Schizosaccharomyces pombe: one gene and its partner. The protein of the gene in region 1 interacts with the protein of each later gene in a biochemical or structural test. Each region holds a gene or a part of one and is shown in the gene's direction. Other genes may lie near its edges.

What was found. Proteins that work in one complex are often made in the same cells at the same time.
Region 2: the proteins of mob1 (region 1) and blt1 form a complex in vitro, tested with the Schizosaccharomyces pombe proteins (one study listed by BioGRID).

What each region holds. Positions count from the first base shown.
Region 1 is NC_003423.3:468,583-472,092, reverse strand, and holds mob1 (Sid2-Mob1 kinase complex regulatory subunit Mob1), read left to right. Parts: upstream 1-1,929; 5' UTR 1,930-1,967; coding exon 1,968-2,142; intron 2,143-2,199; coding exon 2,200-2,599; intron 2,600-2,647; coding exon 2,648-2,705; downstream 2,706-3,510. Other genes in the region: mlg1 (1-acylglycerol-3-phosphate acyltransferase), read right to left, coding at 389-1,441; SPOM_SPBC428.12C (peptidyl-prolyl cis-trans isomerase E), read left to right, coding at 3,264-3,294, 3,484-3,510. UniProt on the Schizosaccharomyces pombe protein: Has a role in promoting the onset of septum formation during the latter stages of mitosis.
Region 2 is NC_003423.3:1,982,466-1,989,416, forward strand, and holds blt1 (ubiquitin domain-like protein Blt1), read left to right. Parts: upstream 1-2,000; 5' UTR 2,001-2,050; coding exon 2,051-2,097; exon of another isoform or gene 2,098-2,150; coding exon 2,151-4,206; 3' UTR 4,207-4,578; coding exon of another isoform or gene 4,579-4,635; 3' UTR 4,636-4,636; coding exon of another isoform or gene 4,637-4,652; 3' UTR 4,653-4,653; coding exon of another isoform or gene 4,654-5,210; 3' UTR 5,211-5,271; coding exon of another isoform or gene 5,272-5,550; 3' UTR 5,551-5,615; coding exon of another isoform or gene 5,616-5,888; 3' UTR 5,889-6,087; downstream 6,088-6,951. Other genes in the region: SPOM_SPBC1A4.04 (uncharacterized protein), read left to right, coding at 808-1,557; U3 snoRNP-associated protein Sof1, read right to left, coding at 6,521-6,951.

The sequences.
Region 1 (3,510 bases):
TGCTTTTAGGACTAAAGATTTAAAGGATTGTTTGCTTGCACATTTATAATATTTTTTTTTTAGCATAATTTATTTTATTGTTATTATGTTATCTTCGACATAGTTTGAAACAGTAGATTGTAGGCCGTCTACAGGCAAAGAGGATGGTTGTAAGGAGAAAAAGTGTACAGAATAATTTATCTCGAAATCTCAAAGCTCAAGAGAAAGCTAATGACTATAAAACTATCGTCCGCAATGTATGCGGTAATTCCTTAACACTGAAAATCCAGTTTGCAATCTGTTAAAAAATGTTCATGAAAATCAGTTAATCTATGTAGTGTAAATGGGTAACTTTTCAACCATATGGTTTAGGGAAATGGAAAGAAATGGGTATAAATAACAGTTTTTTCTAGTGAGAAATGAATAGTTTGAGGAACAACCCAGCAACAATGCACGTGAAAAGTACGGAAAACAAAGAAAGAATTTCAAGTCTGTGCTTCAATCGAACAGTCGTATGCAATTTCTTAGGGCCCGGAAAATTCCCTGTTTCAAGAAGCGTATCGATAAGTTTATCTTTCTCATACCATCTTTGATAAAGCCAATCCGTAAACTGATCTTCTTCAGTGGGAATTTCCGAAATTGGGAAGCGACGAACGTGAATATGAAGCCTTTTGATGGGGACTCCTTCAAAAAAGAGCTTAGGTAAAGAGAAAGCATCGGCGGCATATTTCTTAGGAGAGGGATCAGAAAAATAAAATGTGTAATCGTACAAATAAGTCATCGAATCACGAAGCTGACTGATACTATAAAAGAGCCCTCGCACACGTGGGAGCATTAAATGCTTTGGCATTTTGACTCCAATTTTATCGGCATACACCCTGCTCCTTTGATATGTGCTTTCAACCAAGTTGGTTCCTTCTGGGAAGAGAATGAGACTGACGGAATCACGTACATTGCGAATGAACTTGAAATGACGAGACATAGTCTCGTAGTCTTTGTCCCATTTGCGAGAAAGGAAAATGAATCTAAACAATTGCATACCCCAACCTATAACTGGCAACCATTTGAGAGAGTTTTTTAACATAATATAAACATGACCATGCTGTTTAGCAGTGTACGATAACCACCAAACGTACATCCAGTCCGAGTAAAGTTGATGGTTTGCGATAACTATGTTGCGTTCAGCAGCAATTGTTTCCAAGCAACCATTTCTATCCAAATAAAACAAATTTCGAAGCTCGGGATCATAGGTGAGAGTTACAGGAGTCGGACTAAAAAGCTGGACCAAAGCGGTAAACAGAATACCGGCGAATGATTTTGTAAAAGCAATATATTTGTTATAAAGCTCCTTGTTGACAAAATACAGAGGAGTTCCAATAACTTCCGAGGTATAAATGGTAACTGAACCAACAGCCAAACATAATATGAATGAATACTTGCGAATCGCAATTCTGCATGTCATGTTGTCAAACCTAAATGAATTAAAGGAACCTAAATCAAATCTCAAGAAATAAAAGACTGTTAAATAGAATCCAGAGAAAGTTAGCAAAGTCGGTTTTAGTGATGCCCTTTCGCGTTTCTCACCGCACAGTAAAAGTCGTACACGAACACTAAATAGACACCAATTTGAGCAAAAAAAATCCCAAAAAGAAAATTAAAAGCTCTCTGCTTTCTTTTTAATTTCTTAGCCGCACGTTTAGCACCAAAGTGTAATTCAGGGAATGTCAGTGGTTATAGGCAGTGGGTAAAGAAGTAGCGATCGTACGTTGTCAATTTGTAAAAGTGCTCGGACCTAAACATACGGTCGTATGAATATGATAGGTATTCCAGTAATTAATTTGCGCTTAATATTGGTTGGCTGGATGGTCTTGAAAGTTGAACGGTAGAATGACCACGTTTGTTTACGAGGAAGGGACGATGAGTGGAAGGTTGGCACAAACCAAGCCTACCAGAACCCAACTCATACCAACTTTTTTGCATTTTCTTTCATGTTTGGATTTAGTAATAAGACAGCGAAGACATTCCGTGTAAGGAAGACTGAAGCGGGAACGAAGCATTATCAACTACGGCAATATGCTGAAGCAACGCTGGGATCTGGCTCTTTGATGGAAGCAGTAAAACTGCCCAAGGGAGAAGATTTGAATGAATGGATTGCTATGAACAGTAAGCTAAGATATAAAATTGACACTTCAAGAACTTTTATTAATTGAATACTTCTAGCAATGGATTTTTATACACAAATTAATATGTTGTATGGTACAATCACTGAATTTTGTACGGCGGCTTCCTGTCCTCAAATGAATGCTGGACCAAGTTATGAATATTACTGGCAGGATGATAAAATATACACCAAACCCACTCGCATGAGTGCTCCCGACTATATTAACAATCTGTTGGATTGGACTCAAGAAAAGTTGGATGACAAGAAGCTCTTCCCCACTGAGATTGGTGTTGAATTCCCAAAGAATTTTCGCAAAGTGATTCAGCAAATATTTCGAAGGTTGTTTCGCATTTATGCTCATATTTACTGTTCCCACTTTCACGTAATGGTAGCAATGGAGCTTGAAAGCTATCTGAATACATCATTTAAACACTTTGTATTTTTCTGTAGGGAATTTGGGTATGTGTTTCAATTTACTTACTTAAAGATGTTAACAACAAATTTCAGCCTTATGGATAACAAGGAATATGCACCAATGCAAGACTTGGTAGATAGCATGGTTTAAGAACAGTTTTGTAGTTATTCAGGAACAGGAAATGGGAGGTAAACTCGGTTCCCAAACTTACCAATTTAATGTTTTATTTTATCCCTACCATTACCATTTTATCCAGACCTTAGCACAATTTTTTATGGAAAATTTCTTCTTTTCATTTCAATCATTCACTTGAGTGATTACCATAAAGAATAGTTGCTAAAATTACTCTTTCTACTCCTCCACTTTTTTCTTATGACACTGCATTCTTTTAACTACTTTTGAAAAGTGTGGCATATCGCCTTTGCATAGGCTACTTGTGCAAAATATTCTCGCATTCTCTAAAGTGTCTATCTTCATACAATTCATTTTATTTATAACATTTCATGTATCATATGTCTCTGGAATCTTTATTTCAGGTTTCTGTTAAATACCGAAAAAGACTGCATCGTTATTTGAGAAACTACTTACTGAATGGTGGTGGATGTGAGATAGTAAATGTGCGAAATAATCTGAACTTTTTAATTCCCTATTATTTTAGTCTTTTTGCTTTTCATCTTATTTTTTTTTTTTAGTTTTGATGATCTGAGGATGGAAAGAAGGAAAGCAACCGTCCATGTGGGTAAGGATCAATGAATTCATCGTTGTTATGATATATCTATGAGTTTCATGATACCGCTTCCTCATATGGCCATTTATCTACGATAAATGTTTGAGGTTATGATTTAACTTGTTGAATATTATATGACGGCGATACTTCGTTTTAAAAGATTGTTGTTTTCAAAGATCTGTTTGCTAACTTTCTTTTTAGGTAACTTGGCTCCATCTGTAACAGAAT
Region 2 (6,951 bases), 1.5 Mb from region 1:
TATTCCGCTCGATCAGAGCAGATCAAAAGGTTGATTCTTCAGTGTCCCACATTATAAGGCTATTTCTCGCTTACCAAGGAACACATCAGACCTCCTGAACTTATCCTCCACCAACGTCCTCTTCATTTTAAAATTCATTTTATTGAAAAAAAATCATATTTCTAGCTATCTTGCACCTCTATTTGGCCTTTGCTTATCCCCGGATCCACGTTGGATATTTGCTCGCCTATCGAATAGTATATTAAAAAAAGTTCGCTTGAGAAAAAAATTATTTGTCAAAGTCGAAAGTGGAAAGACGTTTTTAAAAGAAGTATTTTGTGGCAAAGAAGTCAATATCTAAGAAGAAAAAAAGTTTCGGTTGATCTGTAACTAAAATCAGCGTCAAAATAGCATCACCAATACGTCCGAGTGAGAAGCATCAAGGTTCCTCAAAATCAAGAAAAACTTTACCAATATTACTTCTATTGTTTTATCTAGCATTAAAAATAATTTCATTTAAATACAATCCTAGAGCGGGATTGTTGAAAAGAAACCCAACCTAATCTTAGTTTATTTGAATTTGCTCAGCTAATTTTGAATGTGACTATATTGAACACTCAAATTGGCTAATTCTTCGTTTAACAAACATCGAAAACTATTTATTTCTTCCCATCTTTTTGTTTATTAAAAAAAAAAGAAAGGAGAACAATAACAGAATTCAATTCATAGTTGTCGGCGGATATTGTTTTTCTATCCTTTTCTAATCCTTTTGTGTGTACTATTTGTTTTATGTTATAATTTATTAAAAAATCAGAAAGTGTTTTCGATATGGAGTCTTGTACAAGGTCTTCACTACAGCAGCTTGTCGCAGCTGACTCAAAATCTTCTAACTTTTGTTTCCGGAATTTATCCCAATCATCGAATAATAATGTATCATATGCGTCTTCAAGCAATCGCAATTTTGTTCCCCAAAATGTTCTCAATAATGAGTACCAATCTTTCCAGCATTCTTCAACATCTCAACCTTCCGTACTTCGACAAGGAAAAAATGCTTTTTTAAAGCCAAGCCAACTGTCTTTCAATATGAATTCGTCCGAAATTTCTAATACGCATTGGGCACGCGATTTTAATATTCTAACTTCTAACTTTGCTTCGTCCTCCGTTACTTCTGCTCCTACTCAATCCTCACATATTTCAAACTTTACTAATTCTCAAAAATATTTTGCAAACGATCTTCCCAACTCTCTAACTGACCAACCCTTAGCTCAGCCATCGGCATCTCAACGTTCTACATGGCTACCTTGTTCTGCAGCCGTTAGCACTTCAAGTCCTTCATCTGATCCCTTCTTTGATTCTTATCTTGAACAAGCTTTCGAAAAGGCTGAACGACTTGCAAACGAACAACAAAAGATTTCCAAAGTTGAGAAAACCTTTGGCACTTTGGATTCCATAGGTACTGAACAGGATGATTGCTTTGATCCTGATTACAGCAATCTCCCCCTTTTTCCTCAGGAAAATGCATCTCCCCCTTTGTTTCGAAAAGCATCTTGCAACAGTGGTTTTACCACAAAATGTTGATTAGGAGTTTCACACTAGCTTACTAATTTCCCTCCTAAAGATTGCTTCAACTGAAGTGTAGCATTGCTTCAGTCGTATTTCAATATTTGATTTTTTTATGCCTTATTTTTTTGTTTTAAAATTCTTTTCGCTAAAATTTGCTTCGAGAATCTATCAATACAAGTTCTCTCTTGCCGCACTATAAATCTCAAATTTAGCTTTCAAAATCATCTATTTATTGCAGTGTATACATTCATAATACCCTCATACCTAGCAATTTCAAAAATCCGTAACTATAGCTTAGCGATGCAAAAGCACTTCCACACCTCTTTTTGTAAAGAATAAAATTAATTTGAATTTTTAACACTTAATTTAATAATAATAAAATGTTTTGTACAACTTGGATTGCTACATATGGGAAAATTCAATCGTCCCTTCTTTCCAGTAATCAACAACCACTTAATAACTGCCAACTCCTAAAGGTCGAGCGCTTGAGGTGTCTAAGAGGCAGAGCATGAGCAAATCTGCTTTCACAAGCAAAAGTCAGCTTAAAGGAATAGAGTATGTTTACAAACTTTACGTCTTTTGTCTAGTGTACTAACGGTAATTAATAGTGGAAGTTTTAATGACCCATTTCGGCAACCGTCTATGAATTTGCCTACTCCCCCTCATGATGATGGTCTTCCATCAATACCTAGGTCTACAGCCTTGCCTAATTTGTCTAACCGATTATCTCCATATTCGCATCGTAATTACCTACCAATTCCTGAAGCGGATTCTCGTAATTTAGAGGTGCTTAATTCAATTTCGCTCACAACAGGATCAGTCGTGAATCAAATAAATAAACTTTACCAGAGGAGTTGTGATAATGCTAATTACTTACAAGACTTACGCTCTTTAATACTTCAAACTCCCACGGCTGAAGCAAATGCCACCCAAGTTACCGAATCTCTAAACCAAATCCAAAAAATTTTACAAGAGGCTTCTTCTAAAGATAGAGAACAAATTGTTCAAGTTATTAAAGAACTCAATAAAGGTAACAGTTTGGAGGTTCGTAGAGAACTTGGAAATTGTTTGGCCCATCTTAAGAAAGGAACTTTAAATATAGACAACGCATTACAAGCCTCTCTACAAAAATACTGGAAAGAATTGCAGTACTTTAATGTGTCAAAGGATAAGTTGCTATCTTTAGAGGAAAGTATAAAATTGTTAAGTGCAAGATTAGAGGAAACTGATACACCCTCCTCCACTCATTGGATAGAGATAAATGCTGGATTTAAAGAAGTTGGTGACGAATTGAGCGAGAATTTTCAAAGAAAGCAAGAAATTTTGAGTGGATTACAAAATAATGTGATTCTTCGTACTAATAATAGGAAGCCTGTAGGCAGTGATGGCTCTAATTCTAATTTTAATGGTGGAGAAGAACAGATGGACTCCAAAGATCAAGAGGAAATACAAGATTATTTGAATTCTCTTTTGTCAGTTCATGAGAAAGATGGTGTACTTCTCCAGAAATTTCATAATTCTTATGTTCAATATCAGAAACTCGCTGTTGCATTGTCGAAATATGAGAATTTCGATGCTGATAAGCTGTTTCAACAGATGAATTTAGCCAAGCAAAGCAATGAGACTCTTTTACAAACTTTGACCGAACAAACCGATCAACTGCTTTCGTTCAAGGAAACCATGGACTCATTTAAATTTATTTTAGGTCCCTCTATGGAGAACCAGGCTTTACAGCAGGGAATTCTAGCAGAGCAGCAAGATTTGGTAGCCCAGTTACGCGATATTGTGCTTCGCTCAGAGACGCTAGCTGAAAATCCCTCTAATATGCCCGGTAGTTGCCTTCCTGGAGCCTCCTCAAATACTGCTGACGAGTTTACTGAACAGCTGAATCTACTTAAGAACGAAGTAGCACGCCTCTCTGCAATCTGTCCAAGCCCTAATTCTGGAATTAATGCTTCTGTGCTTACTAATGCTGACAATTTAGAGAAAGAGAACCTCCTGTTAGTGAACAACAATGCCTTCAAAGTAGATGATCGTTCAGTGTCATCAGTTGCATTAGACGATCATAATCGGCAGTTACAAATGAACGTAGAGGAGTTAGAAGGAAAGAAGGCGGATTTAACCAGCAAAATTAATCGATTGGATAAGGACTTTGTTAAGCTAAATACAACCTACTCGTTACTCACCGATCAAGTCAAAACTAAGCAATTGGCACTCCAAGAGATTGAAAGTCGAGTTATTCGTCTGGAAGAAAGACTAAATATGTTACAGAAGCTGTCCATGCAGCCAGCTATTTCTTCGAGCAGCGAATTTGTTCCCATTGAATCCCATCCCTCATCTTCAGCTGTTGTACCGATAGAAGAACCAAAAAATAGTATTATAGAAAAGAAGCGTGTTCCACATAACGCTGCAAGAAATTCTGTTAATTTGGAGGTCACTCTTCCTAATTCTAAAAAGAGGTTTTCTTCGTTTTCTGGATCTTCCAGTAAACTACCAGTCCGTCCATCAACTGCGTTAACAGACAAAAGGAAACCATCTTGGTCAAGAAGGCTAGCTGCTGCAATCGGGTTTTCTTCAGGATCTCCAGAAAAGAAGCATGTCATAACTTCATCGGACGCGGGACATCAGCGATCTAAATCAAGAAGCTTCAGTTCTAAAATGTAATTATACGCTCTTTTATAGGTCAATCGTTTTTGTAAGATTATACCAATGCTATTATTTAATCAATGACTTTCGTTTCTGTACTATACCTCTTTCATATGTATACTACGTTGAAATAAGCACTTAATGTAAACAACTATTGAAAGCAGCTCATCACATGAAGTCCAAAAATTACTACAACCCTTTATCCCTTTAAGAGCTTTACGATCGAAAATCCGATTTGCCAATGGAGATACAAATCAGCGTTCAAATATGAGAAAGTCTAACTATACAGATAAGCTTCAACAATCCTTGTAATACTAATGTTAAGATATCTTCAGAAAATTAACCGGTAGTTAACAAATAGATGCTATGTATATTGCATTCATTAGTAAGCTAGCGACCCCATTTGCTCAGAAGCCCTTTCTTTAGCTTCGCATAGACATATACCAACGGAACGAATGACACCTGGCAGTGAAAATTCCCTTTATACTTTGTGTAAGAATACTAAAGCTTGTTAATTTTTTTATTGATTTGCTAATTAGTAGACTCCTTGTCGAAATTTGGTTCGTTAACATCAGTTCAGCGCACTTTTCAAACGATGAAGTGTCAGGTTTTAAGCCTAAAATTTTCACCAAGTTTAATGGGAGTCCATTCAAAAGACGTGATATGGAATCCTTCGTGATGTTCTGATGGAAAGAGAGGTATCGCGAATTATCACTCGGATCCATAGATTTTAAAACTTCTGATGATTCAATGAAATGAACTCCAGGTTCTGCATACAATAGTGGCAAATATAGCTTACGAAAGAAAGCTATTTGCTTAGAAACAATATTTTCAACTTTTCGAGGATTTTCGGCGAAAAAGGACATTCGAATATCGCCAAGGTAGGATAAACTTACAATCGTTTTGTAAAGATCGAACTCTGTGAATCGGTCTGCTAACATTAACAGGCCAACGTGTAAGGCACTACTTAAATTATAAGAGTTTTCTTTGTAAAATTCATCTTCCCCTTTAAGTATGACAACCTATTTGTTCAAATTCGGTTAATATCCACAATTGTAGCAGAAGTCTGTTTATTTAACTTACGGGTTTTTGAAAGCGCCCCGCTAGATACATAGTATTCCAATTTTTAAGATCTTCATAAACATCTTTTTTGCTAGTAACACCATATTTGATTATATTTCCCTCTACTTCCACATGTGTATTGTAGTATACACCGGTGCCAAAAGATTCTTGAAGTGTTGACACGAAACCAGGTCCAAAATTTTTAACAAATGAATAATGAGAAGGGTTTTGCTGCAAATTTATTTTGTGCCACTTGACTGGGTCTTCTACCTGAAATATAAAATCAATCATGGGATTCTCCTAGCAGAGACATAAGTTAGAAGTTTTAGATTAAACGAGTATAACGATTAATAATTACTATTTACCTTTTGAGAATATCCAGCTTGCCTAAAGACCCCGCTGCCATAACCTACGGCGACATCAATGGGAGCTTGAAAGTAATTAACAACCTTTGTGAGATTTTCTTTCAATTCTTCTTCAGGTTGAATTCTTTGGTTTTCAAACGTAAGTAAATTTTGCTTCAATAATTGTGCCACTGTACATTTCGCATGATGACTATAACTATGACGGTTCATCCATCGTTTTGTTGAATATCGAAGGATATTATAAGAAAGAAAGTGGGTTTTACCAAAGATCATATATATGATAAAATACGAGTTAGCAATTGCTTTTTTAGTTGTGATACTATACAGTGTTTAATTATACTGAATTTTGGTCACGATGAGGTACTATATGACAGAAGACGAAAACGCCCAGTCTACTCACTCATTGGACTCTACACATTTCATCAATAATATTTAATTGAATTATTTATTTAGCTGTTTTTTTATACCATGATAAATTAATTATTCAAAATGTGAAATTAAAACCAGAGTATATAAACTTAGAACTGACTTACATATGTTCTTACTACTTCTAAAAGAAACGACATTAAAAGAATGAATCGAAACATAAAAATTTAGGTCAATGTTCCATCTTTTTTTTTTCGTAGTTTATATTAGAAGATTCAAAGATCCAAATCTGCGTACATTTTTACAGCAACCAGTTTCAATGTTCAAAAAAGAAATTGTAGATCATCAACTGATGCATATTTATTCAAAGAAACCGACTTGTTCTGCTTTTTCTTAGTAAAATTGGTTGCTTGTTATGTTGCATTGTATACTATACACGAGAATAAATTCCACCATAATCAAAAAATTGAACTGAGAAAAAAATTTGAAAACCCAAACCATAGAAACCTTTTATAACACCATTAAATAGAAACTTAGAATTATTTTTGAATACCAACAACATGCCTTTCACGTTCTTTTTCATAGGGCACGGCACCTTTTTTACTATGACGGCGAATGTTCTCTTCACGTCTCTTTAGAGAATTAATCTCTTCACGTTTTATTTCGGCAGCCTTTTTGACATTAGTTGGAAGATGACGATGACGGGCAATACGGCGAATTTCAGGAATATGCTTATAGCGCTCTCGCAATGAGTCAAGATATTTGAGGCGATTCTCCTCACGAGTAGAGCGAATTGACGCACGGGAAGAAGCACGAGCTCTCCAAAGACGAACATTACTATCATCGGAACCAGAGAATATGTATTGTGCATCCATTGAAAATTTAACTGCAGTAACTCGCTGCATACGTTTTGTATGATAAACATCACGACTATGACCCTCCCGAACATTGTAAATTCGAATCGTTTTGT